2 linked regions of the Kluyveromyces lactis genome follow. The protein of the gene in region 2 interacts with the protein of the main gene of each other region in a pairwise test. Links are inferred from orthologs where the notes say so. Each region holds a gene or a part of one and is shown on either strand. Other genes may lie near its edges. The genes, in order: SRV2 and CYR1.

Region 1 (15,853 bases), on a different chromosome or scaffold from region 2:
CATGTTAGCTAATAAGCCGCTCTAAGTATCACCAATTCCGTTTATGAATAAGAGTCGATGTGCTACTGTGAATTCACATCTACTCGACTACAAGTTGACCAGCACAATTAGGATCAACCTGCTTTTCCAGAAATGTTCTCTTCTAGACCCAGTAACCAAGAATTTGCTCACTTTCCCTTAACAGGTATCGAGGCGTTAATTCTAAATAAAGCAAATGAGGGCTGAATTACAAAGCACCATACCTCAAAGTTTTGAAAACCTGGCTCTTGCTATAGTTATTCACCTTTTAATTATCAAGCAATTATAAATCTCAAACACTTCTGGACATACAGATGCGGACAGAGCATAATAGCAAATGAGATATTTCGTAGGATATTCGATGTAGTACGGCTTAGTGACGTCGGTTGTTGTTCAGGAATGTACAATTTCAGGTGATTTAAAAACCCTATGCTAAAAGGTTCGATGATCTTTATTTGAACTGACCTGAATGTTGGCTGTGCTGCCGTTGCGTCTGCTCAAACCTCTTACAGGCATGTTTCCGCGAAAAGTGATTGCTTAAGTAAGAAAGAAAGAATGCAGTCACGTGACAAATGCTGAAAGTCTTGAAGTCATTAAATACGTTACCACTGCTTCTAGAAATCATTATCGTTCAGAAAACAAAAAGTTTTCATTTCTATAATAAGGATTCCTACATTCTACACGAAACTGTTGCAATTACGAGGCCAATTGAGTGCTATTTTGTGTCAGTTTAATCCGTTATTGTATTGCAGTTTTAAAATAACTCAGCTATCACACATCAAACAGCAGAAACAATGTCCGAAACAATTGAAGGTAACGTTCAAATTCTAAGATTATCACCAGGTGACAGTACCAACTTCCCAAAACCAGGCGATTTGGTAACAATCCATTACACTGGTACTTTGGAAAACGGTCAAAAGTTTGATTCTTCCGTTGATAGAGGTTCTCCATTCCAATGTAACATTGGTGTAGGTCAAGTTATCAAGGGTTGGGATGCTGCTATTCCAAAGTTGTCCGTTGGTGAAAAGGCAAGACTAACTATCCCAGGCCCATACGCTTATGGTCCACGTGGTTTCCCAGGTTTGATCCCACCAAATGCTACTTTAGTCTTTGATGTTGAATTGTTGAAGATTAACTAGATGTATAATGTCATTCTTCTGAATAAAACACATACTATTAATTTCCTTCACATTTTTTCTTTGGTTTCTCCCTTGATTCCTTCCAATTGGTCCCATCCATTATTATTATTATAGCTTTACATCTTTCCGTACCTTCTCATCAACCTTTCAACATGGGAATTGCTATCAAATTGTAGCCGTAGTGTTTGTATGCTTCCATTTTAACATTCAATTTTTGTACATCAACGAAATGCCTATAATATAAACCATTAGCTATATTATGTTGTTATTGCATTATTGAAAAAACAATCAAGAACAACTACTTCCTGCTTCTAAGCCTGCTCGAGAGCCTTGTAGTTGGTTTTGTTATGGATTTTCTTCTTGTTCTCCTAGCTGGAGAATCCACGTCGGCAAGATCTTCAGGAACTTCCTCCGCAGCGGCAACTTTTTGTTTCTTAGGGCGCGGCTGTTGAGATGATTCCGTTTCGTTCTCTTCTGCTTTCCCTGTCGGCGAATTAGCTGATTCCTTGGCAGCACCTTCAGATTCATCAGCAAATGTGACTTGTTTTGTAGCTGTAGTATCTGCGGCATCAGCAGTCGATTCTTTTTCGCTACCAGATCTCCCTTCTGTATCGTGTTCGACATCTTCCTTTTCATCGGTGTTTCCGCCATGGGGTTGGTCTTCTTTGTTTTCACTTTCGTCATCAATGCCTCGCTTTTGTGAACGTGTCAACCTTGTAGAGCGTCTTGTCCTTGGTTTCTTATGAGCATCGACAGGTTCATCGACAGGTTCATTCGCCAGTTCGCTCACAGATTCTCCAACACTGACTGGCGGAGTGGTCGCCATTTCTTGTTTCGCCTGTACATTATTTTGCTCAGTATCCTTTTCATCGATATCCTTTTCTCGTTCCCGTGGCTCTTCTGACTCTTGTTCTACTTGCGTATCCTGTGATTCCGCACCCTTCAGTTTTGCCTTGTCATCCGCAGAAGCGGTCTCCTCTTGCTTAATATCTTCCACCTCATGATCCCTAGCATGTTCTAACATAAGTTCTCCATAATCTTCCCACGATAGTTCAAATTCCGTCTCTTGCTGGAGTCTATTTTGTAATGGTATTATATTTCTCTTAAGCTCGTCACAATTGTCAACATCATTGTCACTGTCATCATCATTATCTAGTTGAGCGTCCCCTTCTGTCTTTTTGTTTGTAGTTTCGGTTGGTCCGTCATCATTATAAAATTCAGGGTATGGCTGGTTCTCTACTTCATCTGCCTTCTCTAAATTATAGTACCGACTCAATTGTTCCCAAACGTCCTCCCCAGAAAACACTTTATCTGAGCTGCCTTTATCGCTTTGCAAAAGTTTGATTGGATACTGATCTGGCTTGTTCAATCGCTCAAGCAAACACACCATATGGAAGTGTTTATGTATTCCTGCAGGTTTGAACAGCATCATCCATTTAAACAGCCTTATTTCCTCCACTTTACTCCATGTTTGCCCTCTAGGTGATTCTATCTTTACAGCGGACATCGCAGTGAACCGTATCGTATTACTTTTATCTGAAGTATCACAACCTTATACACCAAAAGAACGTTCTTGCAATTGATATAATAAAGTTCCTATCAAGATCGCTGATAAAGCAGATCGTATGAGGCTTGATACCATCTTCGCCAGTCCATCTCAATATGGTTCTATGGTGTTTCTCATCTTTCTAAACTATGAATGCTAATATTTGATATCATATGTCACGAAATTCCTCTAAAAATTTTTCAATATCGGAAAGCTTCAAGCATTAGATAGCGTTTGATTGAAAAATATTATGCAGGTAGTTCGGATATGCAATGTATTTCCATTTCGAAGAGTCCGTAAGCAGTCAATTCTGGTTAGTTTTGTCAATACATTGTGAAGAAAAAGACCAGCAATGCCTAGGAAAGCTGTACTTCTGAACTCTTTGTCCAGAGGGAAGGTTCGTACCTCTTTTAACAAGTACAATTTGTTCAACTTGTATAAGAAATCTCAGGTCAGTTTTAGATCGAAAACACTATACCAACAGAAATGGACTTCTAAACAGGAAACTCGTGCCTACCATGGCGAACATTTAACAGAGAGTAGGTGGCAGTCTGTTTTCGAGCCTCAGCTAAACTCTGTGGCTCAATTAGATGCTTCTCTAAGGGGTGGTGATATCGAACCGACGCCCATTCTATTACAAACATACGCTGTACTAGAGAAAAGGCTAGACTTTGCTTTGTTTAGAGCTATGTTTGCCTCGTCAGTGAGACAAGCTCGTCAGTTTATTTTACATGGCAACGTCCATGTGAATGGTGTAAAGATTACTTCTCCGGGATATGCCTTGAAAGCTGGTGATGTTTTCAACGTCAGACCCGAAAAAGTGCTACAAGCTCTTGGTGCCAAGAAACCTAGCTTGAAGGAAGCTTTGAAAGTGGATAATACCCAAATTTTCCTATGGAACAAATATATTCTAGAGGCTAGAAAGAATCCTAGAAAGTTCTGGGATGAAAAGATCGAAAAACTAAGAACTATGGATAGTAACGATCCAAAGAAACAGGAATTTTTATCCTTCCTCGAAAACTACAACAAAACCATGCACATTCAAATGAGGAAAGAATTAGACCAAACCAGTAACGAGTATTTGTTAGCTAAGATCTTTTCTACCGTTAACCGCGTTAACGATGTAGAAAAATTGGCAGTAAAAGATTTCTTGGGCGAATTTTACAATAACGAAAATTTGGCAGCTAAAGGATTCGAAATTTATAGAGAAGTCAAGTCTGCCAAGGCTGTGGAAACGATAGCAGGGAAGCCTTTGGCTGAAATTCCTAATGAACAAGGTGAATTGCTAAAGGTGGCTACAGGAATAACTAAACCTGTTGATAACACAAACGATGCCTTAAAGAAAAAATTCAGAGCCATCAATCATACTATAGTTGATTTGAGACATTTCTATGAAACCGTGGTCAGAGAACATTATAATGACAAGATGGCATCCGTTGATTCTGTTGATATTCCATACGATGCTAAGTGGGCTGAAAAGTTACCATTGCATCAAAAGATCAATGTTCCTGAACTATTGGAAAACGAACCAGCTGCTCAAAAAGCTATCAATTTACCATGGCAAAAGGGTGTGTTTGGTCGTAACGATCCATCTAAACCATATTTCACTCCGTGGAAACCAAGACCCTTCTTAGCACCATTCGCCATTCTACCACACCATTTGGAAATATCATTCAAGACATGTCATGCGGTCTACTTAAGAGACCCTGTTGCACGTCCAGGTCAATCTGAAGTTATTACTCCATTCGGCTTACCTGTACATGAACGTTCATACATGTACTATGTGAGAAGGGGTAAATAAGTTGACGAAAACAAATACACACGAAAGAATGGATACACTGTGACTATGACAATTTAAAAAGAATGGTGTATCTTGGAAACCTTGTACATATTATTATCATTATTTTATCGTATCATATTATATTAATTATATATATATATTTATATGTTCTAATGAGTAAAGAATAAACTAACACCCAGTAACGAGAAGATATACTATTCAGATATTCAACCAGCATGTTCGTAAATCTTGGTTTGTAGTTTACCTTCGACGAAAGTGTGTATCATCTGTTCTGGAAGTGGAACTTCAACGAAGTCACCATCGGGACCAGTTGGAGTGTTGATGTTAATACCAGTGCTAGAAGAGGTGAAAATTTGAGCCTGTAAAGAGTTTTTACTCAAATAAATGGAGCCGCTATCAGACGCGTCGATGGTGATTTGTGGCAGGGTGTTTTCCACTTGAATACCAAATCTCAAACATTTAATAATATCCACACCACTGATGGAAGAATCTAGCACTAAACTGCATTTTTCTGTTTCATTGACAGTAACTGCGTTGACCTTACCTTTGATTTGTACCAATGTGTTGACACATTTACCGATGAAAACAGATTCGTCAATTTTAGTTTCGATCACTAACGGTTCGGCTTCATCTTCATAATTTTCAATAAACCATTTATTACCGATCAATTCCTTTCTTGGAGGCTTCTTAGTCTTCAGAGTAGATGGTTTCTTTGGTTTAGGTGGAGGAACAGCTTTGTCAGAAACCTTCCCTGAGGCACGAAGTTCTGGGTTCTTATGTGTTTGCTGAGACTTTTCTACTTTCTTTAAGGATTTAGTGATGTTTTCACCTTGGTTTAACTCAGCAAACACAGCACCGATTCCACCAGATTCTTGTTCTTTTGATTGTTCATTGACTTCGAATACGGAAGCCGGAGGAGGTGGAGGTGGAGGTGGAGGAGCTCCGGCGCCTGAACTATGCGGCTCACTGGAAGTAGCACCAGAAGAAGAAGCTCCGGATCCCTCGTTGGAAACTCTTTCGTATACGGTTTCGAAATCCTCACCAGTAGTGTCGTTCCAAGTCACACCTGTGGTATGGTATTCCTTAACGTACAGCTTCAAGCTATCGAAAACGGACAAAAATTGTTGGACCCATTCAACGGATTTAGGATCAGTGCTTCTGAATTCTTTCAAGATTCTATTTGTCCAAAACTGGGCAGCGTCCTTGAAATCAGTGATAGTAGACACAGGTGTAGATCCAGCAATCCATGAGAACAGTGGTGATCCCTCAGAGATAGCATTCAAATGAGCGAAATACTTACTGTTACGGTTCTCCTCTTTCAACTCACCAATAGAGAAGATGTTCTCGTTAATTGGGGTCAAACCTTTCACGAATGCAGATGACGAAAAGTCTGGCTTCTTTGATTGTACTGCTGCCTTTAAAAACACCAACTGAGCTTTGAAAGCGTTGGCTAAAAACACCACAGCTTTTTCAACAGTAGGATCAATTTCAGCGGATAATTTAACCAAAGGATCAACGTTCTGTTCAATGAAATGCTTAAATTCTTGAATTGATTTCGGTTCTTCCTCCTTCGATTCACCAGTACTGTTTGGTGCTGTTGCTACCGGTGTTGCGGCTTCTTTAGAAGCTGCTGATGCGCCTGAACCTGCACTAGCAATTCTTTCAGCAGAAGAAGCAGTAACAGAATCAGCGAACCCATCAACCTTACCGTCTTTCTCTAAGCCAAACTTGGATTGAACATAGCCTTCTTGATAAATCGTAACATCCTCCAATCTGGCAGTAGCATCCTCCAATCTCTTCAAAAGTTTTACCAAATTGTACCCCTGCACTGAGAAATTTGTTTCAGTCATTTTCCAACTTGCTTCAATCCACTCAAACGTCCTGATTACAGTTCACCGTCCGTATTGGAAGCCTTTCATACACCAAAATCAGAGCAAATGCCCCTATTAAAATGTTTCTCTTCTATTATTTTTTTGTTTTTTCTTGATTCCTTAAAAGTGTCTCTGATGAACATGTAAAAGTGACCATTGAGAACAAAGTTGACGAAAAACTCTGGAATGGTAGGTTAAGATGTTAACTTATGTTACGAAAGGAAACATCAGGTTACTATACGACTGTGGTACTCTGTTTCATTTTTCTTACGATTCAGGAAATTAGTACGGTCTTACTTTTTCTGGTTAAGATAGCAAAGGAGAATTCTGTTGTGTGTCCTTTATTGTAAATATGGCATCGCAGCATCGGAATGGTAATTCGAAGTCCAGGAATGGGGGAGGAAAAGGTGTAGGGAAAGGTTCTAACTCGTTGTTTGGGCGTGTTGGAAATTCTAGTGGCCAAAATCCCGTATTACAGAAGAAGCAGACTTTGGAAAGGGCAGAGAAAGCAAAGGCAGAAAAGGCCAAAGCAAAGACTGGATTGACATTTCTTGGTGGTAAACTTGTGTTAGCTGCTGATTTGCAGGGCAATAAAATGAAAGCCAGCTCAGATAAGAATAAGCAACAAATTCAATCGAACAAACGTGTCAATTTGCTTCATAATTTGAAGAATAGAGCTAGATCTAAGCAACGAAACAATAGTGATAACAGTAATAATAAGAAGTTGGTTATTTCATTGAAAGAGAGTTTGAAATGTTTAAAGATACGAAATTTGCCGATAGGAACGAACCCTTCTAATTTACAAAGAGTGTTACAACAGATGGGCAACTGCAAAGTTACAGACTTGAAAGTTATCGATCTTCCTACTGGTTCAGCCCACGCTGAGGTGTTTGCTTCCAACATGGATTTAGAAACGTTACACAAGAGGTTCAACCAGGCCGAAATTGATGGCAGAAGAATCTTAACAGAGATTTCTTCGCAGCCAGAACTTTAATTAAATATATTACAATCTCTGAAAGCGTTTTCGATAGCTTTTTAACTTCGATACACCTAACATAAAATACACGTTAAATACCGCATGTACCAACAACAAAAATATTGCAAATACACTTGTGTAATATCTATAATAATCATTAATCGTTTCCAATATCCCTTTTGATTGGTTTTGGCGGGTTTGCAAGTTTTCGTAACAGTGTTAGTTGGGCATCCCGTTTGGAAGGGAATCCTGACGCCAATGTGTAATACTCTAAAAGGTTCTGATGAATAGCCAAGCTGGCATATGTGTCCTTGCTTATCGTATTAGACCACTCTTCCTTTGTTGTTCTAGCACTCCCTACCCCTGGATGTTTCTTCCGCATATCTTCATATATCAGTTCCTCTTTCACTTTGTTACTCTGCAGTTAAGTCAGTAGTTAGTATCATTGGTCAGCATAGGATATTACACATAAATTGGAAAAAAAAAGTACATACCATTGTTTATAACTTCCTATTGTTCTCACTGATACCATTAACTTAGTCAAATACCTAGTATACTGACTGCTGTGACTCTTTTCATCCCTGTTTGAGATATCAACTCTATTCAAGTTACCATTCTCACCATGCCGACATTTTTCAAATATCGAATTTGAATATGTTAAAAATCTGTGAAAGATATAACACATACATTGCGCAACATCAACCTCATGATTGTAGCGTCCTGGTGACGGAAGAGCAATAGGGGTATTTGCATTTGCCAATTGAATTAGGCACACGGTAAATTGTTTTCATCATGGCATTGTACGACTGTTTGAATAATTTGGCTTCCAATCTTCCAAATGATGAACAAGTTACTTATTTTGACAAGACGTTTTTCGATGAACCAAGTCGTGGTGTAGAAACAATCATATCACAGTACCTTTCCTTAGATGCCAGTTCTCAGAAATCTGATTATGTGTATGATTTGTTTCTGGAAGCTTTTTCCTTAATCAATGGGAAATCTGATGAATCGGAGTTTTTAAATTTGGATGCTATCAGCAAAATAGTTAGTGCGTTATGCAACGAGGATAGATATAACTTCGAGCTATTTGTTTCGTTAGCGAATTCATACCCTTGGGAGGCGAACAATGGGTTTAATGATTTAGTTGGGTGTGCCAAGGATCTTCAGTTAGAGGTGTGTATTTATTTGAACGACCAAATTCTTTCAAAGGGTACAGAAAGATGGTCCAAAGATTTTTGGTCCGCATTCAAAAAGAGCATCGTTCCCGAGTTCTTCCTTTTGCAAAAACCAAATTTATTCCTAGAATGCTCTACTGGTTTCAGTCAACTGATAACGTTGTTGAATATCGCTTTTGAAGATGTTGACAAATTCCAATCTGTTCAATATTACAGTAAACAGTTGAAATATATTATGGGGAAATATAAGCTAGACCCAATCAGGTGCATGGATATACTATTACAAGTGTCTTCATATCATGTCGTACACCATTTTGAGTTTATTCTTGAGCTTTTGCAATCTACAGACTACTGGCCATCTTCGAATTTGGCCAACTGCTCACGGTATGAACAATTGAACCAAGGTGGTAATCCGATAGCTACCAGGTTGATAGTAAATTACCTTAATAATGGTAAACCAGATGCAAATTACATCGATTTAGTGGTTCATCTAATTAAAGGCGGGTTTGTCTCTTTTGCTGCTATATTCGATTGCCTGACCCCGTACGATACTGACATTGATGAGTTTGTAGAGAGGAAGCTGACGACATTGGAAAAGGAATCCTTGGAGGGATCTCTTAATCCGTTAGCTATGGCCTCCGTCCTTACTGACGAAGACAATACCATTTCGAAAAATACGGAAGGTGATAAAACCAATACAGCGGCAGATACTGGGATATCGGAGAAGGAAAAAGAAGCACTACTTCGAGAAACTGTTGAAAAATCACCAAAATGGAAACTAGTAGAGAGGTTACTTGTCAATGGGCACTTTGTTCCAGGATTGTATGCTCTATTCAAATATCCTCGGTTCTTTGCCGTGAACGATAGTCTCGTGAAATCTCTTCTCGAGGTGTTTGACAACATGATCGAACCCTTGACTGTAAAGTTGAGCCCTTCAGCTATTTCAGAACATTGTCGACCTCTTTTGAAGTTATCTCACAATGGAATTCCTACTAAACAAGATCGGTTGATCAGGCAATATAGGTCTTTGGGGAAAGACTACAAATACATTCAAGGGACAGAATTTGTATTTTACAATAAAGACTGGCGACAGAATTTGACTCCAATTGAAACGATAGAGAATCTCGTTCATTATTCACATCTAATATTTGAAAGCATCGGTCCACGTATTATTCTTAATGCTAAACTTGTTGAACATATATGCGCCATAGCTGAAAAAAATATTCTAGATAACCTAGAAGATGAAACGGTTATGGATTTATGGATTAATTACTGCAGAAAGTTTATGCTACCAGTATTAGGACTAGTCGAAGATGAGCAGTTTGTTGCAAATGCAATTTATTCGGTTATGAAGCACTTCCCATTCGAAAGAAGATACTTCATGTACCATGAATTAAGTACAAAGATTGCTGAAGACAACATACATGTCAGGTTACAATTTAATAAGTACCAAAAGCGGATAAGGTCACTTTTAAAATCTTTGAGTATTGACAACATTGCATTTAAGTGCAGGGATGTTGCTAACTTCGTGTCCTGCAATCCTCTTTCAACTCTAGACTCTATCCTAAAACAAATAGAAAATTATGATAAAGTCTCTGAACTAATCGTCATAAGTGCCGAATTTTTCTCAGAATTCGCTTACGATGTTTTACAGTATACGTTATTAATTAAGCTCACATCGGAAAGGCCAACTTTACAAGATGATGGTATTACTCCCAAAATGTGGATTAGCAGATTATCTTTGTTCATTGCGGGTCTTGCTAAAGGCTGTTCTAAAATGAGTATGTCCAACATATTCGTGTTTTTGGTCAAAAATCTTTACAAGGATCCATCGCTTACCCTGGCTATTTTGAAGGAGTTAATCTCCCAAGTTGCAGGAATACAAACGTTGTATGATGTAAATTGGAACACTTTGCTAATGATAAGCTCAGGATCCTTTTTAAAACAAATCGGTAGAAATCTTATCTTGGATTTCAGAGATAAGTATTATCAACCTTCAAAAACTATTGTCAATTACTTGTTAGAGCTTAATGCAGTGTCAGAAATGATTATCATGCTCACAAATTTGAATCTTAAGATTCAAACCGATAATAACGTTCATTATAAAATCTTATCAGCGAAATGCGATGAATCCAATGCATTACTTTGGTCATTTATTGAAATGTTAAAGCACATTTTGACTGAAGAACAATTCAAAGCCAATATTCTACCTTTCAACGTTTTAATTGAGAAATATCAATTTCCTGTTGAGTGGGCGTTTGATATCTGGAGGCATTATTTCGATACAAAGCTGGCGAGATCTGAAAATGATGCTGATGAAATCAACGAAATTCTATATGAGACTGATTTCAAAGGCATCAATTTTGAAAATATTGATAAACGTCTATTCATTGATTTCTGGCGGTTATCCTTATATGATATTAGATTAGAAGAAGATTTGTACACGAAGCAGAAAATCATTTACGAAGACAAGAGAAAGGCTGCTAAAGTTTTGAAAGAGAGGCATAGTTTATTAAGCACAATACAGACAGTCAAATTTGATCTATCTCAGCATGCAAGCGTTTTTGAAAAGACAAAGAACATGATTAAAATGAACAAGGAGACATGGTTCCCCGAATTCTCCCGTGAGCGTATTACCTCATTTTTGCAACACTGCGTTGTTCCTAGACTCATTTTTTCACCATTTGATGCCATATTTTGCGCAACTTTCATTACTGAAACATTTAATATCGAAGAAGTAATTGATATCTTAGGGCAATTCACATCCTCAAACATTTTAGGAACCTTACTATTTTCTTCTACGGTAAATGAATCGAGCAACATCGCTACGTTTTTGAAGGACATTATTACCAAAATCGAAAATTGGAGACATACTACATTATTGGATGATGACAAAATTAAACCTGTAATATATGACCTCTACTATCAATTAACAGAACAATTATCATTTACCTTAGAGGATTCCAATTACATGTCCATTAGAAACACAATCCAGTTTTTAAATGCTATAAGCGAAATCTTCCCTGTCGTTGATGAACATTTGGAATTGGTTTTAGACACTTTGGATCATTTAATTGAACACGAGCAAAGGGAGGATATCATTTTGCCATCAAACGCTTTGAAAGGACACTTAAAGGCTAGACTTAAGAACGCCTCTAAGACATCGGATTTCCGTGAAGTTTCAGCGGAAGAACAGCAACAACTGCAAGACGAGATGAATCTCATCAAAAGGTACCAAGATATGAAGGAAGCTGCAAAAGCAGAGCAAAGTAGAAAGGAAGAAGCAGAATTGAAAGAAAAGGAAAGGGAAAAGGCAAAACAACAGGATGCTGAGAACGGTGCTGCAACATCTTCACTTACCGCACCATCCATGTCGTCCATATCCAACAATTCTCCATCTCCATCGCAAGTCATGGATGGCTTTTATAAGATCGAGAAGTACATTAAGGATGCTGAGTACACCAGAGCCATTCCCTTGATATACGATTCTAACACTCAGAGTGATTTTAGAAAATTGATAAAAGCTCCAGGCAACATCTCTGGATTTAGAAACAAATTGAAGATATTGTTCGAGGACTATTACCACCGAGTCACTAGTAATCCACCTGATCACTACAGATCTGTCTTTGAAAATTTTATTCAAAGATGCAAATCTGCTCCTTTGCCTCAAACCAAGACACCTGGAAGTATGTATGAAGATGAAGTAGTACCTGTTAAACCTTCATCGAAGTACAGTGGTGAAAGATGGAACTCCAACACTTCCAGTAACCGTCCAATACCTAGTGAACCAAGAAAGGCAGCTTCTTCTCGTTATCAACATGGTATAGCCTCAACAACTCTGCCAAGAGCACCAGCCAACGCGTCTAAGCCTCCGGATACTTCCTCAAGACCATCTGGTCCTGCAAGCTCAGGTTCATCTAGCAGATTCCAAAACACATTACCATCTGGCCCAAGAAAAGATTCGTCTAGCAACAGAAGTATCAGCAATTCAAACACATCACAGCTTCCTAGCAGACCATTCAATCAAGGGAAGAAATTCGTTAATACTCCCTCCGAACCACGAAAGAGGCAATCTGATGAATCTTACCAAAGTTCAAGCAGATTCTCAAACGTTAAAAAGCCTAAGTTGAACGATCGTTCTACAAATAACCAATCGCCATTACCATCTGGTCCAAAAAGACAATCTGGAGGATCGAGATATTCGAGGTGAATAAAAATACTTAACTCGACACTTAGTTAAATAGCATAGCATAATATATGCTACCAATTATCTTCGATTTTGTACGGTCTTTCCCTGAGACTCTGATGCTTCTTACCACGTAAAACTGTCAATATGAAAAATGTTGAAAAACATAGACCTATGTAAATATAAGATTGAATCAAGCTAAACTACATATTTACAGTTTGAATAGAGCTTCTTTATGGGTCAATAAGCACTGTTAACACCTTTCAATCGATATAGGCATTAAGTGTAATGAGCAATAACGTGATAACCGGAGCAAATGGTCGATTAGATGTTTATGTGAGTAAAGCGAAGGACCTTCCAAATCTAAGAAAGTTAGACAAGCAAGATCCTTTCGTCAAGTTAAGAGTAGCTCATCTTACGGAGATATCTCCAGTGATATACAGAGGCGGCCAAACTCCAAAATTTGATTACCATTGTGTTTTTCAACTAACGCCCGATATCAAGCCTCTACTCTGCGTTGAACTGTACGATGACCATGATCACAAACATGGTTCGAAGCTCATTGGGAAGTGCGATGTTGATCTTTTGCCTGCATTACTAAGTGACCCTGAAGAAGGCCATGATAGGTGGTATCATCTGAAGAGGGGTCCTTTGGAAGCTGGTAAGGTGTATATTGAATTGACTTTTGTTCCAAATAACATTAGCGAAGACAGACGCGACAATGTTCCAAAAATAAGTTCCAGTGTACAGTCCAGGTCAGTACCACCACTACCGTCAGATCCACCGGAGTTACATGCACAATATGAACTGCAGACATCGGCAAGTGAGCAGCGGTTCGTTGCTTCCGCATCCCCAGGCCAATACGTTCACGGCTCTCATATAAAATCTCCACTTCCTGATCTACCTATAAACCTCGATACTTCTAGATCATCACACGCTTCAAGTGAAAGAATAGATTTTGATTCATCGATGGGGTCTAATGCTACAGCAAATACCTATCATTCGCAACAAAGCCAATCTACTGATGGGCTGATGGACAAGTTAAAGCTGATCAAAGAAAAATTGAATTATTTCAAGAACGGCTCCTCGGTACCATCTACAGAGAGTATCACCAACACTGCGATGGATTTGGAAGTCTTACAGAAAGTGGTAGGTGGCGGTCTCGAGAGTAGCTCAAGCTCAAGAATACCAACGAACATTGACGAGCCATCGCCTATGAATCACCTTCCTACAAAATCGTTTGTTGAACCGCCATTACCACCTCTTCCGACTACGCCTTCAAGACTATCCAGCCAATCTTCAGTGAGACATTCAGCCGGACAAAAATATCCGTTAAAATCTCCTGTGAGACAACCTACTACTCCAAGGCTACCGAACTTGCCAAATTCTTTTTCTTCGCCTTCTTCAAGATCAGGCTCGGTTTCTCCAACAAGGAGGAGACCACCACCATTATAAATGACTTATTAGAACTACATAATCATTGATAGGATAGACAGTTAAAAGTTTTTCTATCACTACTCATATTAGATGTTCCTCTTATCTTCTCGAAGCCTTGGAATCTAAAATGGTTTCAATCGTTGCACCTTGAATTCTGTCAATGCTAAGCCTTTTTGCATGATTATTCAACCAAAGGGTCCTAAGATGAGAAAAGAATATATAAAGAAAGAACTTTAAAGTAATCGCACAAGAATACTCGAAAGAAGACTCTGCTGTATTATGTTTGATACTATTCGAATTAGGAACCTCACTGCAGTGGATTAATGATACGACAAGATGGTAAATTGATAATTCTGCCCAGTAAAATAACTGTCGGAAAACAGCTTGAAGTTGGAACATACTTCATGTTAAAACTGGGTCAAAATGCAATACGATTCAATTCCATTAGGGGAAACTTAGAACTTAATGTTAGAGCTGCAGACTGGGATACTAATATGGAGTTCATTATATTTAGGCGAAGGCCACGATTGAAGAATGATCTTCTTGGTTGTCGACGGAGGGACGTCCTAGACCAGGATTTTATTAATATCAACAAATTGAGACCTAAAGCACTAAGAGAATATTATGTCGTTTGGAAGTCTGTTGAATTGAATTCACTTGCAAAAGATGTCCAATTCATAGTAGACATCGAATTTTTCCCATCAAGTGGCCCTATTATACCTTTGAAAAGCCCACAAAGTCCAAGCGAGAAGAGCTCTCCAGTAATTAAGACCAAACTGCCCAAGCAACTACCTCAGAGTCCCGAAAGTAAACCCGCTACAACACCCAGGGACCAAGAATCTAGTCCTAAATTTTTTCCCCGATTAAGAAGACATTCTAGGCATCAACGACGTAATGATCTAAACATAGACTCAGATGACATAGTGTACGACAATGTCATTATATATGATGGTAAGGAGAAAGCTGTAGTTGCAGGAAATTACACTCATGGATTGAAAAGCTACGAAGCTGAGTCTTCTGATACAAGCGGTGTATATTCATTCATCGAGCAAAATAAAGAGAAGATTCGAAACTATGACTACGATACCTTAGTTATCAAAGAAACTCCAAAAGATCTACTGAACAATGAATACGCTCGCTTGCAATTGGGTGATAAGCTTATGTTTATTCATAGTTTCCCAAGTGCTAATGTAAAACTAACTGGATATTTGGGAAATGGAAGATGGTCAGTTCCAGAAACAAACGAAACGAGACGACAACTTTATGTACTTCAGCAACCAACTCTTCCTCCTCCCAGGGTACCCCCCAAATGTCCGAAAGGTATGCTATGGGAAGAGTATTATTTACTCAATAAAGAGAAATACATTCGTGAAGTTATGAGAAATTGAAGGCTTTTCAGCTGATGCCATGTTATTAATGTGTTATGATACAAAATATTAAAGGAAAACTCAATATATAATGGAAGTAAATTAAATGTTAACAGACAGTGTCTATAATAAATGCTATTTTATGCGAATAAAGATCTAATGCTTTATTTATGTTTTATTGGTCCTTCGATAAAGGCTGATTTTCCTCTCAGTGTGACTTAGAATTCTGCTTCATCAGGATACTCATCATCACCTCCCAGGTCATCATCCCCATCATCGAAGTACTTTTCAGCATTGTAGTCATCATCGTCGTCCTCTTCAAATTCGTCGTCTTCAT
Region 2 (15,677 bases):
GTGGTAATTGATCGAGAGTTTACCCCGTAAATACAGGGATCAAGATATATAAAGGAAAAAGGTGAGAGTAGCAATGGATAATGGAATTTCTGCGCCTGGCACACCGGCCAAGACTTTTCAGACTCCCAATAGGCCTTTGAGCCAGCAGCAATTTCAATCCTTAAGGGAAAAAGCTATCAAACAGTCGCCTGCATTGTATAAACACAAGGTATTGAGTGATCCTACCAGCAAGACTGATGTTTCCAAGTCAGATTCTTCCTCTGTGTTTGCTGCATCTGCGTTCTCTGGCAGATTTGACGCGAAACCTTCAGCATCAACTAATACACATACCGCATCCCCTGTTTTTCGAGGAAAAAGTAACCAGGCATATTCTACACAGCAAGATACCGCACCAGTGACAAATTCTGATCTGCTACCGGACGAACCGGTGGGACAGAAACAACAAACGGATTTGAACTTTTCCGAAGATTCCGCATATGATAAATTGACTGATTTCGAAAACCCGGCGTTGGCTGCTTTCACATCTCGTATGGTTAATAAAGAGTTGGAGATGAGAAGGTTGTTGACTAATGTAGTGTTGGCAATGATTTGGAATCTCATATACAAATTCGTGTCATTATTCTTCCAATTCACTAAAAGGGGATCCCAACTTCGAGACGAACTGTATCTTTTCGTATTGAAAAACGTTGTTTATAAGATTAACCCACATGCCAACATCAATTCATTTTGGTTCCAAATGCTTTCTTGGCAATTTGCAACCAGTATATTCCATACTATTGTCATTTTTAACATTGCATCGTGTCTTTGGAACTTGCTGATAAAAGCACAAAATACGGACATATCAGATTTGCATCTAACCGAGAATCAAAAACGCTTGTTAGGGGTTGTGGAAAGCACCCCCGACTATGGTAGATCCTTTGATCCTTCAATTAATATAGGTAACTCTAAAGTGAAATCCTTAAATGAAGCAGAATCAAAATCCAGCCACAAGCCTTTCATATTCAAATCTTTACAGACTCCAATGAAAATGCGTGAGTTGAATACCCTTCAGCAAGCAGAAGTGAAAAAAAATCATGTATCTTTCTCTTTACAACCGAAGAAAGTAAACGCCTTTGGTGTCGATCACATAACAAATGTCTCCAATACTCCTACAACTTTATTCACATCGACACGCTCACAGCCAGACACTCGTCCCGGATATATTCCAAGCAACCGGTATACTTATATGATGGACTCACCAAGTGCGATGAAGAAGCGCTGAAAAGCATGCGTACTTCGGAGAACGATTCTTTTTCTTCTTCTTTTGGTTTCGAACCTCTGATAGCAGTTATGATAAGAATGTTATTACTTACATGGCTACCTACCGCGTATAGTTTATAAAGTTTATAGAAGAGAAATTTACAGCGTTACCAATGGTTTGGGAATAGAAACTTTAGCTTGGCCAAGGCATCTTGAGACATGGCTTCAGGTTTTGTTGAAATGGAGTACTTCATGGCATCCTTTAGACCATCACCGTTGTTCATAAATTCAGGAAGTTGCTTTGCCATTTCTAAAATGACCCGGGATGCCAAATGGTTAGCATTTTTGGCATTGTTCTGTAAATTACGGATAACAGTTTGTACAGACACTGGTTCTTCTTCGTCTCTCCATGCATCATAATCGGTAGACATACAAACCATCTGGTATAGAATTTCACATTCACGAGCCAATTTCGCTTCAGGGATCACACTCATGTTGATGACATCTCCACCCATCAGACGGTACATCTTAGATTCAGCCCTGGTCGAAAATTGGGGACCTTCCATACAGACAACGGTTAGTTCTCTATTGTAGTGCAACAGGCAAGGTTCTTCAGACTCTGGGTTTTCCAGAATATCTTTGAATTGATAAATATACTCAGCAAATGACTTGGAGAATGGTTCACCGAACACAACATGCCCAACTAGGCCTTCATCGTTGAAGTAAGAGGACTCTCTGATCCCCTTGGTTCTATCGATGATTTGTTGAGGCAACACGAAGTCTCTTGGTTTAATTTCCTGTTGTAAAGAACCGACAGCACTGAAGGACAAAATAGCACTGGTTTTCAAGTTCTTCAAGGCAGCAATGTTAGCTCTGAATGGAACCCTTGTTGGTGGGTACTCATGATTCACACCGTGTCTAGCAATAAAGGCCACATGGAAATGCTCAGTTTCATCTGATTTTACACGAGACACCGTGATTGGAGAAGAAGTCTTACCCCAAGGTGTTTCCATACACGGAAGAATGGCAATTGGTTCCAAACAATCCAAAGTGTACAAACCAGTACCGCCAATGATTCCTAGATCAATAGTCCCATCAAAAGTCTGAGGTAACTGCGTAGAATTCGTCATTTTAAAGCTGTAGAATTTCGGGATAACGTTAAACTTCCTGACGAACGTTTTCATAAAACGAATAACGTTGTAAAGAGGAACTAGAAGAGTTTTGGTTCACCAGATCAGATTTGAAAGGACTAATTTACAGACAGTTTTATTTAAATTAATGCATGCATGCGCTCATTGTAAACTTTTCTGAAGATGGAGATGAGCATTCGAGAGACAACGCAGGTGAAAAAAAATGAATAATCACGTGCTCTTCTTCTTTTTCTTTTGTTTCAATGATACTATTAAAAAGACACAATTATTAACAGAACCTAGCTTCTAAGACTATGCTTTTAATTGCATAAATGATTTTTGTATAGTTGTAGGTATACTAAAGTTGGAATTTGGAATTTCTGGTTATCGCAGTATTTACAGGAATGAGGATGGGGTAGTCGAAAACCTTCCAAACCTTCCAAACATTGATATATGTATAAATATTCTTCTCTTCGCAAAGTTTCGTCATAATGGGTCAGCTGCCATTGTCGCATTAGATTCAAACTTCAAAGCCATATCCCTTCATACAGGTCTTATACTTAGCGATCAACTCATCGCACTTACCGGATTCTTGGCCATTAAATAGAAGACATTCGTCTCTAGCTTCCTTTTCTGGCTTGCAAACACAGCATGGCTTTGGCTTAGTAGCCTCTGTCTCTGTCTTAACTGGAGCAGTGTTGGTCTCTTGTGGCATTGTTTCTATAGAGTTTTGCTGTTGGGATGTGTCTGGATATTGAACTGAAAGGTATCAGGTTAAATGGTGACAGATTAAAGGGCTGGTTTCAATAACTTACCTACAATTCTTTACAAACCATCGACATGTTAGTTGTATTACTAAATCCTGTGAGAAGCTTCTCAGTAGTTACCTTTTTGAACTTTTAACATTCAGTGTCTGATTTCATTACCCGGATAATGCTCATGTGACTTGTCCGATTGATTATCTAATCCGCCATATATGGTAAAAATGTTCGAACGAAGAGTCCATATGGAGAGCTGCTGGAAGTTGAATTACAGGCTCGATAGAGTTCTCCTAGAGATAAATAAGAAGTTGGTACATTGTATAGAATATCAAAACCACCAGATCAGCTTTCAATTTCAACTGATTGCTGAGTTTGCAATATCAGTCACGTGGTAATTTTATATCTCCTATCACCTCTCTTATACTCTTCATCCTTAACTTAGGGCAGTAAAATGAAAAGCGGACAGTAGGTTCAGTTTGAACATGAGGTCTCATTAAAGCTAGCAGCTGGATCCCTCACATTGCAGCATTACCGTTCCACGTATGATGATGTCAAAGCTTCCCTTTTTGTTAAGGGGAGACTTTGCACGTTGGAAACGAAAATTTCTCACTGAATTGATGGAGAGCTGAAAAAAATGTGAAATAACAAAATGTGCAAAATATAATGTTTGATACGGACATACTGATGCACTAGATTGGAAATTCAGGTGCATAGTAAAACCCTACTTCACTCTGGTATTGTCATAACCCAAGTGCTCATTGAAATATAGTGTTACAACGATTCAATTGTGTTATCGTGTTTACGCTGGTGTTGAAAAAACCAAGTACGTTGATCATTTTGCGTTCTTAGTTAATCACTGGTTTTTATCAGACTTTGATTTGACACTATTTGTAATTAAAGACAATAATATATCTTCAACAGCAATTTGTAATTTTAATTTCTGTTGACAAAAACACAATCGATTATAGTCTCACTTCATTTTGGCATAATCTTTGTCAGAAGTTGGATAATAATCATTTTCCTTATAATAATCTGTCCTGTTTGGATTCTTAAGTGCTGGTTTATGGGTACTTGTATTCATTTGTAAATTCAACCACTCAAGACAAACCACAGTGCGAGAGAAAGAAGAGGTCAACTATGAATCCACAACCGAAAGAAACTAATCGAAGCTCCATCTCCTCGGGAGCAAGAAACAGTGCTGGCAGTGCTTCTTCAAATAACAGTATCTCAAGTAAAAATAGCGGTAGGGAGTTACAACCACGAAGCGATACCGATAGCGAATGGCAAGACGTTGGTATGCCCACTTTTAAAGAGGACTATTCCATAGATGCAATTACGAAGAAGGTGAAACCTGGGAAAAAGGGTTTCCATTCTGCTATAGTTCGTGATGCTGGATCATTCGCGCACAATCCTCAACCACCTTTGGCAAAACCGGTGAAACCCACTTTTGAAAGGTCCCGGACTGCAAACCTGACCGCAACTTCATCAAGAGGTAACCTGCCGCTACTTTCGCGCACTTCCAGTACGCTGTCAGTATCAACAGCTACTTCACATGGACATAAAGGAACTACCAAACCGTCACGTGCAACTAATTTCTTCAAGAAACTTACCAGCAGGAAATCATCTCTGGCAAGCCAAGGAGGGCCTCCAGATTCAGATAATCAAATAAGCCAAGGTGGCAGAGTGTCGGCTTCAGATGGTGAACAGCAGTCACCCTTTCATCAACAGTCTCTGCAACAGCAAGTTCCCACTAACGCTTTGCGGAGAAAGATGAGCACATTCATACATGGTTCTTCAACCATGTCTGCGGCGTCTACTTTGACATCCGCAAATGCTCCTCATATGAAACACTCTGGGTCTAAGGGCAGCTCCCTGTTACATTCAGGTAACGAAGCCAGCAATGGTTCAAATTTAAGCGGTGGGAATGCGACAAGTGGCGTTTCGAACCAACAACATGGAGTAAGTTCTGCAGGCAGAAGTATTGACACAGACCTGTCAAGAAGAAATTCAGGGACCTCATTTGATGCTTCTAAATTATCAGCCGCTAAAGAAATATTTGGTGTTGACCTAGATTTAGACAAACTTTCTGATATGACGGATGTCGTCGTTACTTCTAATGCACCCTCCGCAGAAACTACGGACAAAGTTCCACCAAAATCACCTAATGCGTCACAAGATACCAAGGATGCTACACTTGCGCTACGGAAACAATGGACTGCTCCAGAATCCTGGGATGTTGATGAGACGGTCGGTCTTGATGTTAACAAAATTAAAGAAAGACATAAGATGTCAAAGGCCAATCGACATAGAGGGAAAAACCGCAAAAGGTACAGCAAATCACAAGGAAAACATACCAAGGGGTCTGTTCCAAAAAATGTCATTGCGAAAGATACTTCGGAGCCAGTAATTCCTCATGTACACCATCATGACTTTGAAGAAGACGCATTGTCACCGCGCACTTCTCCTCCTAACAGAGGATCGAATGACGAATCGGGACTGCATTTATCAGAAACGAAAAGCTCCGAATGCGATCTTTGTTTCACAATTTCTCCCAACGGCGACGAAGACTCAGACATTTCCATTGAAACCCAATCAGAAAGCCTAGACGATATAACTTCTGCTAAGACGCAATCTCGACCAGGTTCGCCTCTATCACAAAAAAATATCGAACAATATACAGAACTAGATGGAGAAACCGAATACGAAGAACATATGCTTGAGAAGTATTATAGTGATCTTTCGGATATTGACCAAACCAAAAAATATGCTATTAGAATCTTCAATGTCGATGATACTTTCACAACCCTTTCATGTCGTCCAAATACATCTGTGGCCGAACTTATACCACAAATAAAGAAAAAGTTTAATATTCAACAGGGGAATTTCCAGTTGTCGTTGAAGGTTGGTAAACTATCTAAGATTTTACGACCAACTGCAAATCCAATCCTCATCCAGATCAAGTTATTACTATTGAATGGTTACAAGAAGAGTGATCCGCTCCATATTTTGGGGCTCGAAGATGTCAGCTTTGTTTTTAGTTTCAAATTCCACCCGGTGACCACTTCCCAATTAACAATAGAACAACAACAGAGGCTCTCGAAGGGTGACTTCATTCATGTTGACTTGAGAAACATGGACTTAACTACACCTCCTATCATTTTTTATCAGCATACTTCTGAAATCGAGAGTTTGGATGTTTCTAATAACGCTAATATCTTTTTACCTATCGATTTCATTGAAAGTGCCGTTAAGCTATCCAGTTTGAGAATGGTTAATGTCAGGGCATCTAGGTTCCCAGCCAACATTACACAGGCTTATGATTTAGTTTCCTTGGACCTAGAGAGAAACTTTATCAAAAGGGTACCGGAATCCATCTCCAAGTTGTCCAATCTTACTATTTTGAACCTTCAATGTAACCAGTTAGACAGACTTCCATCTGGATTTAAGAATCTCAAGAACTTGCAGTTGTTGGATATCTCCTCCAATGCATTTACGGCGTACCCCGAAGTTATCAATAGGTGTACAAACTTATTACAGGTTGATCTTTCATACAATAAGATAAATTCACTTCCACTTTCCATCAACGAACTAAGTAAGTTGGCGAAGATGAACCTATCCAACAATAAAATTCAAGCTGTTCCCGATTTGTCAGGTATGGCAAACCTACGGACTCTCAATCTAAAAAACAATAGAATTGCCACTATCAAATCAAACGCCCCAAATTTGCAGAATTTATTCTTAACCTCAAACAGAATTTCCGTTTGGGAAGATTCACTACCTAAACTAAGAAGCTGCGATTTGACAGAAAATCCTGTTACTTCGTTCGACTATAGAGGTAATGTGTTATCTAACCTTACAAGTTTATCTCTAAACAAGGCAAAACTATCCAGTTTACCTATCGATTTTTTGAAAACTTTAGAAAAGCTTGAGAAGCTTGAATTAAATGACAATAACTTAACAAGTTTACCTGCGGAAATCAAGTACTCAAAAAAACTAATTCATTTTTCTGCCGCCAACAACAAGTTGGATAGTATTCCGGAAGAAATAGGAGAACTCTCCAATCTTAAATCACTTGATTTACATTGTAATAATATTAGAGAATTACCCATTTCAATTGTAAATTTAGAGCTAACAACATTAAATTTCTCCTCTAATTTACTTGGCTACAACCCCGGATTAGAGGACTATGAAAATACCCCTTTATCAAAATCATTACTATTTCTCAATACTGCTGACAACAATCTCAATAATGAGATGCTTCCTTTATTCAACTTCAACACTAGCTTGAAGATAATCAATCTTTCTTATAATGATATTTCTGATATTTCTGCATTAAACCTACCATCGTTGACAGAGTTGTATCTATCCGGCAATGCTATCACCAGCTTGCCCGGTGAAGTGTTCCAAAGAATGAAGAATTTGAAGGTGATAATGTTAAATGGTAATAAGCTGATGTCACTACCATCGGAGCTCTCTCAACTTTCGAATTTGACAGTTCTAGATGTTGGTTCAAATCAATTAAAATACAATATCTCAAACTACCATTATGATTGGAACTGGATGAATAATTTGAACCTAAAATATTTGAACTTTTCTGGGAATAAAAGGTTCGAAATAAAGTCAATGATTGGCCCTGATACTAAAACAGATTTGTCCGACTTGACAATCTTAAAACAGTTAAAAATTTTGGGGTTGATGGATGTTACAATGAAAACCTCCAAGGTTCCTGACGATGGTGTCAACTTTCGTCTAAGAACTACCGGATCCATGATTAATGGTATGAAGTATGGTGTTGCTGATACTTTGGGTAAAAAGAGCTCCGTGTCAACTAGAGATATCAAGTACGAAAGATTTAGAGGCAAGGATGATGAGTGCTTGTTCTGTCTTTACGATAGTGTGAATGAAAACGCCTCTTCTGGTCATAAAATCTCACAAATCATCAGAGACATATACGATAAGATTTTAACAAGAGCTTTGGAAAAATATGGAGACGATACTGACGAAAACATAAGGACAGCATTGCGGTTCAGTTTCTTACAGCTTAACAAAGAAATTAACGGGATGTTGGTGTCTGTTGAAAATGGCCTGAACAAATCTGAATTAACTACCGTTGATTTGCTCAGTGGTGCATCTGCAACAGTCGTATTTTTCAAAGGCAAGTCAGTGTATACAGCGAACATTGGTAACATCGGAGCTATTCTAGCGAAAAATAATGGTGATTACGAGGTTTTGACTAGGTTGCATGTTCCTACTAAGAGAGATGAATATGAAAGAATAAGAATTGCAGGCGGTTATGTCAATAGTGAAAAATTAGATGGTGTTTCTGAAGTTTCTAGAGCCGTAGGATTCTTCGATTTACTGCCTCATATTCATGCATCTCCAGATATTTCGGATTTCAAGTTGACCTTCTCAGATCAGATGATAATTATTGCATCACATAATCTTTGGAATTATATCGGTTATGAAATTGCATCTGATATTGCTCGTGAGAATGGCTCAGAACCTATGCTGGCTGCGGAAAAGTTGAAAGACTATGCCATAACTTATGGCTGTACTGATAAATTGACAGTTGTCTGTATAAGTGTGGAAAAGGGTGCTACTGAAACGAATAGATTCAATATAAGCAAAAAAGATTTGTTATCGAGAAAAACTGCATTTGAAGATAGTTCTCTCAGAAGGCTTCAACCTGAGATCCCCCCTCCCACAGGTAATGTTGCCATTGTTTTCACCGATATAAAGAATTCCACTTTCATTTGGGAATTATTCCCTGATGCGATGAGAACCGCTATCAAAACACATAACGAAATAATGCGTAGACAACTACGTATTTTTGGTGGTTATGAGGTGAAGACTGAAGGTGATGCATTCATGGTAGCATTCCCAACACCTACGAGTGCTTTGGTCTGGTGTTTAAGTGTTCAATTGAAACTTTTGGAGGCTGAATGGCCGGGTGAGATAACATCTATCAGGGACGGTTGTTTGATCACGGACACTAGCGGCAACAAAATTTATCAAGGTCTTTCAGTGCGTATGGGTATCCACTGGGGTTGTCCTGTGCCAGAAGTCGATGTTGTTACCAAGAGAATGGATTATCTAGGCCCTGTTGTGAATAAAGCTGCAAGAGTCTCTGGTATTGCTGATGGAGGACAGGTCATGCTCAGTAATGATTTTATGGTAGAGTTTAAGAAGATTTTAAGCTACCACCAGCAAGTCACTGAAGATAATATTCCGCTCGCAAAAGCCTACGGGGAAGACATTGTGGGTGAAATTTTAGAACGAGAAATACACATATTATCGTCTATAGGATGGATGTTCGTCGAGCTTGGTGAACAAACGTTGAAAGGGTTGGAAACTAAAGAACTTGTCACCATAGCATATCCTAAATCACTTCAAGCGAGACACACTTTGGCAACACAAGATCAGAATAACAGTGTTATTTCAGATGATTTTCTATTCCAAATTAGATCAGTGTCCAATAGATTGGAGACTGTCCTCTCCTCAGTCCAAGGTGGTCTTATCGGGCTGGAAAATTCTGCCAATGGACGATATACTACCTTTGATAGTAATACCAAACAGGCCGTTATGAAAAACTCGTCCGAAGCAGATCTTCTTGCATTCCTTGACCATTTAATCACCCGAATTGAATCGTCAGTCGTCTTAATGAACTTACGCCAACAGGTCCAGGGTGGTTTAACCATATACAAATCTGGTGATGCAATGAAACAGAAATCAATCTTCCAATTGCTGGATGACCTTCTAGCCAGAAACCAATTATACATAGAAAACAGCCATAATGACGAGAGCGAGCAACAAAGCTTCAAATCTTTTCCGGAGGAGTAGAGGACTTGATTTCTTTATTGTTACGTCGAAAATGTCTCATGGTTTCGGACCCTTTGATTAATTGTCGTGATTTCATCAAGAATAATATAACACATTTCCATTACATAAGTATATAAACATGCAAAACTTTTTATTTTTGTGCTTCTAGATCTCTAAGTTCGATGCTTTTCCCTGGAACTTGAGAAGCTGGCTGGCTGGCACTGGCAGGTGCAGAATCGTCATCCACCATACCTTCGAAAAATGTGTCTTTCAACTCTCTCCACCTGGTAATCCAAGTCCCAAGGAAAATCAATATCAGTGTAGACAAAAATTGCAAGATAAACCATGCTAGTGAAGGGAATAGCCCTGTGTGTGTCCATACTACTACTAGATTTATAGCATGGATTGTAATGGCAAAATCCCACGCGAGTTTACTCCTTCCCACTATGATGGTCAAAAAAAAGACACAAATCAAGGAATCAATTAACCAAAGGGCTGATAAAGAAATACCAAAAGAGTTTGAGAAATCAATGTCCTGCCATGTAAACAACCATTGCTTTAGCTTTATTTCGTACCCACATATTTTCGCCCAGCAATAAAACAAAGTTGATGCAGTGAGATAATAGAACATTTGCAAGAGTATAATCTGAACGATTATTTTACCAGGGGACTGAGACTCTTGTTTGAAGATTTCAGTGGGTAATAGTTCTCTCGGAACACGCATGTATCGTCTAAGCGAAGCCATCTCCCTGATTGGTTGAAATGTCTCTAATCGGTCGCCTTTCTAAAACTGCACTTGGTACAGTTCAATTCTATCAAATATAACTGGTGCGAACAACCAAAAGAATTCACCGAATATTATAGGAGGAATGCAATAAGTAACGAAAGAGGACTAACTACTCAATTCTGTCTTTATTTTCAAGTCTCTCAAATCATGTCTCAATCACAACTCATCTTGGATTTAATATGTTGCTTAGAGATTCCGAACTAGTTTCCATGTTGACAACCAGTGGTTACCCTAACTTGACGATATGTTTTTCCTCAAAAGAAATTTTCCATGTTCAAGCTTTTCACATCTGGAATGGCGATGAGATGAGCTTGAGATGAGCTACGACAACTAGAATAACTTAGCAGTGAGTACTGTTCATTGTTCCTTATTATAACTTCTACAGGTGACATACTATTTATCTAGTGCTATTATTCTTCACTCATTTCTACTTTGCGAGAAAGAATAGAATTCTTGTTGTTCTTTGATTGAGTATTAAGGTAAGTGGAAAATAAAGAGATATACGGCATTCGTTAATATGGCTGTTAAGAAGTTTAGATCATTCGATGATTTTGTTCCTACAATTAGTGATAGCGAAGAAGATGTTCCAGATTTAGATGCTTCTGATGACGAAATGGAAAAGAAGCCAGTGAAGTCCTCAAAAACTAAGAACAAATCTAAAAAGAAGGCCAAGCAACAACAGGGATCTCACTTGGACGAAGATGTCCATGAAGATTTGAATCCAGAATTCCAATTCTCCATTGACAGCGGAGAAGTTACCACCAACTTTGCAGGCTGGGATTTCCAAGGTGATGAGAAGAGTGATGAAGTTGAGAAAAAAGATGTCGATCTAGATGGGATCATTAGAAGAAAAGGTGGTTTGATTATGATGGCTGCTACAGGCAGTGATGCCGAAGAAAGCCTATCAGAAGAGTCCGAAGAAGAACCAGAAGAAGGAGACGAACCTGGCGAGAGTGATGATGAAGATGAATTAGCTTTGGATGGGTTCGGTATGGGTGTCAAGAGAAAGGCAACAGAGGAAAATGAAGAAGATGAAGAGGATGAAGAAGAAGAGGATGACGACGAAGATGACGACAAAAAGACCGAAATGAGTCAGGCAGATTTAGGTAAGGGAAAAGACGAAGATGAAGACATTGAAGAAGACACTAAAGAAGAAATGGCTGAATTTTATGCTCCAGAAGAGGAAAGTGCGGATGCTAAAAAGATCGTTCATAAAACTTTCAACAGCTTGTCGTTATCCCGTCCTGTGTTGAAAGGGCTTGGAAGTTTAGGATACACCAGTCCTTCTCCAATTCAAAGTGCTGCTATTCCTATTGCCCTTCTTGGTAAAGATATCATTGCCGGTGCTGTTACAGGTTCTGGTAAAACAGCTGCTTTTATGATTCCTATCATCGAACGTTTGTTGTACAAACCTGCACATATTGCATCAACAAGGGTTGTTGTACTAACTCCAACCCGTGAATTGGCTATTCAAGTGGCTGATGTTGGTAAAAATATCGGTAAGTTTGTTAACGGACTAACGTTTGGTTTGGCCGTCGGTGGTTTGAATTTAAGACAACAAGAACAAGCATTGAAGACCAGACCTGATATCGTAATTGCCACACCAGGTAGATTTATCGATCATTTAAGAAATTCTGCGAGTTTCAGCGTTGATTCAGTTGAAATCTTGGTCATTGACGAAGCTGATAGAATGTTAGAAGAAGGTTTCCAAGAGGAACTACAAGAAATCATGTCTCTCATTCCAAGTAAGAGACAAACTCTGTTGTTTTCTGCTACAATGAACTCAAAAATTAAGCAATTAATCTCGCTATCTCTAAAGAAGCCTGTTAGGATTATGATTGATCCTCCAAAACAAGCAGCAGATAAATTGACACAGGAGTTCATCCGTATACGTAAAAGAGATCATCTCAAACCGGCATTATTATATCAATTGATTAGAAAGTTGGACAATACAAGCCAGAAGAGAATAGTAGTTTTTGTTGCTAGGAAAGAAACTGCCCATAAACTGAGAATCGTCCTTGGGTTATTGGGTATGCAAGTTGGTGAATTGCATGGTTCGTTAACCCAAGAACAACGTCTACAGTCTGTTAATAACTTCAAATCCTTACAAGTACCAGTCTTAATCTGTACCGATTTAGCTTCGAGAGGTTTAGATATTCCAAAAATTGAAGTGGTTATCAATTTCGATATGCCAAAAACTTACGAAATTTACTTACACAGAGTTGGTCGTACTGCCAGAGCGGGTAGAGAAGGTCGTTCAGTAACCTTTGTAGGCGAATCATCTCAAGATAGAAGTATTGTCAGAAGTGCGATCAGATCAGTGGAAGAAAACGCTGAAAGTGGAAAGGCCTTGAGTAGAAACGTTGACTGGACACAAGTCGAGCAAGTCAACAGCTTGATTGGAGCAAAGGGTGATGTTGTAGAGGAGATTATTGAAGAAGAAAAGCAAGAGAAAGAGATACTTAGAGCTGAAATGGAACTTCGCAAAGGTGAAAACATGCTAAAACACAAGGAAGAAATCAGTGCAAGGCCAAGAAGAACCTGGTTTCAATCAGAAGCTGAGAAGAAGAACTCTAAAATGCTTCAAGTTTTGGCAAAAAACAAAAAGCCAATCAACAGTAAGAAGAGAAAACAGCAAGAAGCATTGGCTGAGAATCCTCGGCTATATAAAAAGACACAAAAAGATCGTGTCGAATATCAGGAACGTCAATACAGCAAGAAGCAAGCTGCCTACGGAAAGAAGGGAAAGAAGGGTAAGAAATAAATTACTGTCCTATGTTCTTAGTTTTGGCTTAATTATCAATGCGCATGAAAATTCATTATATACTACATAAACGCAGTTGAGGTGTTATTACATAATCATCAACTCTCATTCGTAATATATACCCATCGAGAGTTGCTTTAGAGTTTCTGGATTGTAATAAAAGTCATCCGTTTCCTCCTCTGAGAAGGATTCCAGTGACTCATCATCTCTAAATTTATCATCAAGAGCAGCAAGTTGGACGTTCCTTCTTAATTTTATTAATGTATCGATTTGTTTCTCAGTTTCTGGTGATAATTTGGCGTGTTTACTTTGTGATAATAATTGTAAACCATCCAACCAGGTGTAGAAGCTCTCTGTACTCTCCAAGTAAAATGCAGATAAAATTTTCCCGTTTCTGTCAAAGGTGGTAACTTCTCTATAAATTGTGTTCTGAAGAATATTAATCAATCTAACACCTTCAGGAAGCTTTCTATCGAGTTCAATTTGCCTACTTTGAATGTTTATAATATTCTTTAACGGAATGACAGTAGTTTTGTTATTTACCATGGCAGAGTGATCGATGGTCACTATTTCATTATCTTCAACAGTGGGTGTCTTTTCCACCTTATGTTTGAATTCTTTTATCAATAAATTCATCTGATTATCTGATAATGCAATAAATGAAACCTTTGGTAATTTATCCTTTGCTTCAATTGGGTTCTCTGAGTACACCCATGTACCCTTCTGCATCAATAAAAGTCTTTGGTAGCGTACAAATTCCTGCACTTGGTTTTGTAAAATCTCATCAAAGCTACTAATATCTTCTGCCCAGTCATTGAACTGTTTTTCTCTCCATTCTGCTACCTGCAGCTGTCTTAAATCTTCGTACGTAAATGTCTCACATACCTCAACGAATGTTTCAACAAAAGAATCGTGTTTTGTGCGGCATATCTTATCTGCCTTATGAATCAGTATTTTAATAAGTTCAAGCAAAGATTCAAAATCTTCTTCAGTTTCACTCCTGGACTTATCCCATAGCGTCACCATAGTACCAAGAAGCACGGCAATGATTTCTTTAGTGAAAAATATGAAGTGCATCTTGTGAACCTTTGAGCCTAATTTCAAGTTTGACATTTCGAAGTAATCCCAAACAATTACGGATAAACGGGCAACAGTTTTCAAGAGTGGTAAAGGATATTCTTCGAACATAAGTTGTTCTGTGTAAGCTTTTTTGAATGTTAGATCGTTTTGTCTTAAGATAAATCGGATGTTAAGCAGTTGCAACACTGTTAGGCCGTCCAAATCAGTGTACTCTTCATTTGATTTCATAAACCTCTCCTGGGTGATTTCATAGACGTCAAAAAGTTTGTGTATCAATTCCTTTACCACATCAGTCGCTTCTAAATCATATTCATTATTAGGCAAGTCTTTTACTGCTCCTTTTAAGCGTTTCAACTGGACCAGAAACTGTTCAATGGAACCTACTAGATCCTTATTGTGCTCATGCGCATACAACAGACAAGACAATTCGTTAAGAACTCCCACATCCTCAAGCATCATGTTAGTTCTTGCTACAAATGTCACTGCAGTCTTGTCGCCTTCTGAAACCCATTGGAGGATGCATTCAACATGAAGACATAGGTATTTAATGATTTCCTGACCTGTAGTTGGATTATTCTCATATGTCTTTAAAAGGCAAACAAACTGTTCTAAAAGATCTGGACCAGAGTGTAGAACTGAACACAGCACAGTTAAGGAAATTTGTGATGAGGGCGGATGTAACACCAAGTTTTCACTTAGTAGAGTAAGAACTGACAGTGATGCGTGCAGAGTGATCAGGTCTTTACTTTGAGTAGAAATGATAAGACCATATAATCGACTGATTAATTCATCCGTAATTCTTGGCTTCCACAGATCGGTTGCAGCCAATTCCGATAAATGTCCTAACCCGGTTAACAACAATGCTTCATCTGTTTCGCTCTGTGAGAAAGCTGATGCAATAATCACGTCAAGATACTTTTCTGCAGTATCTTGCTCTAGCATAACTCCATGGTCATTTTGAACCTTATGGTTCTCCATATCATGTATAATTGTCTCCATTATGAAAATAGTCTGTATGAAGAATAAATGGCTGGTCGCTTTCTTGAACCAATACAGATCAACAAGGCCCTCTTGATGACTCTTGATTGTCTTATACG

The links.
Region 1: the proteins of CYR1 (region 2) and SRV2 interact in binary tests that used the Saccharomyces cerevisiae proteins (3 or more experiments, as listed by UniProt). The link is inferred for Kluyveromyces lactis from reciprocal best matches to the Saccharomyces cerevisiae genes CYR1 and SRV2.

Annotation. Positions count from the first base shown.
Region 1 is NC_006037.1:995,771-1,011,623, reverse strand, and holds SRV2 (adenylate cyclase-binding protein), read right to left. Parts: upstream 6,355-15,853; coding exon 4,711-6,354; downstream 1-4,710. Other genes in the region: peptidylprolyl isomerase FPR1, read left to right, coding at 813-1,157; EAF7 (Eaf7p), read right to left, coding at 1,456-2,664; NAM9 (mitochondrial 37S ribosomal protein uS4m), read left to right, coding at 3,056-4,504; KLLA0_A11616g (uncharacterized protein), read left to right, coding at 6,728-7,369; U2 snRNP complex subunit YSF3, read right to left, coding at 7,509-7,769, 7,846-7,848; THO2 (Tho2p), read left to right, coding at 8,144-12,736; INN1 (Inn1p), read left to right, coding at 13,001-14,167; KLLA0_A11550g (uncharacterized protein), read left to right, coding at 14,473-15,537; RPC31 (DNA-directed RNA polymerase III subunit C31), read right to left, coding at 15,735-15,853. UniProt on the Saccharomyces cerevisiae protein: The N-terminal domain binds to adenylyl cyclase, thereby enabling adenylyl cyclase to be activated by upstream regulatory signals, such as Ras. The C-terminal domain is required for normal cellular morphology and growth control.
Region 2 is NC_006042.1:1,443,482-1,459,158, forward strand, and holds CYR1 (adenylate cyclase), read left to right. Parts: upstream 1-4,267; coding exon 4,268-9,970; downstream 9,971-15,677. Other genes in the region: POM34 (Pom34p), read left to right, coding at 74-1,261; MEU1 (S-methyl-5-thioadenosine phosphorylase), read right to left, coding at 1,407-2,423; copper metallochaperone COX17, read right to left, coding at 2,890-3,051, 3,813-3,842; SYS1 (Sys1p), read right to left, coding at 10,101-10,694; DRS1 (putative ATP-dependent RNA helicase), read left to right, coding at 11,254-13,500; LMO1 (Lmo1p), read right to left, coding at 13,606-15,579.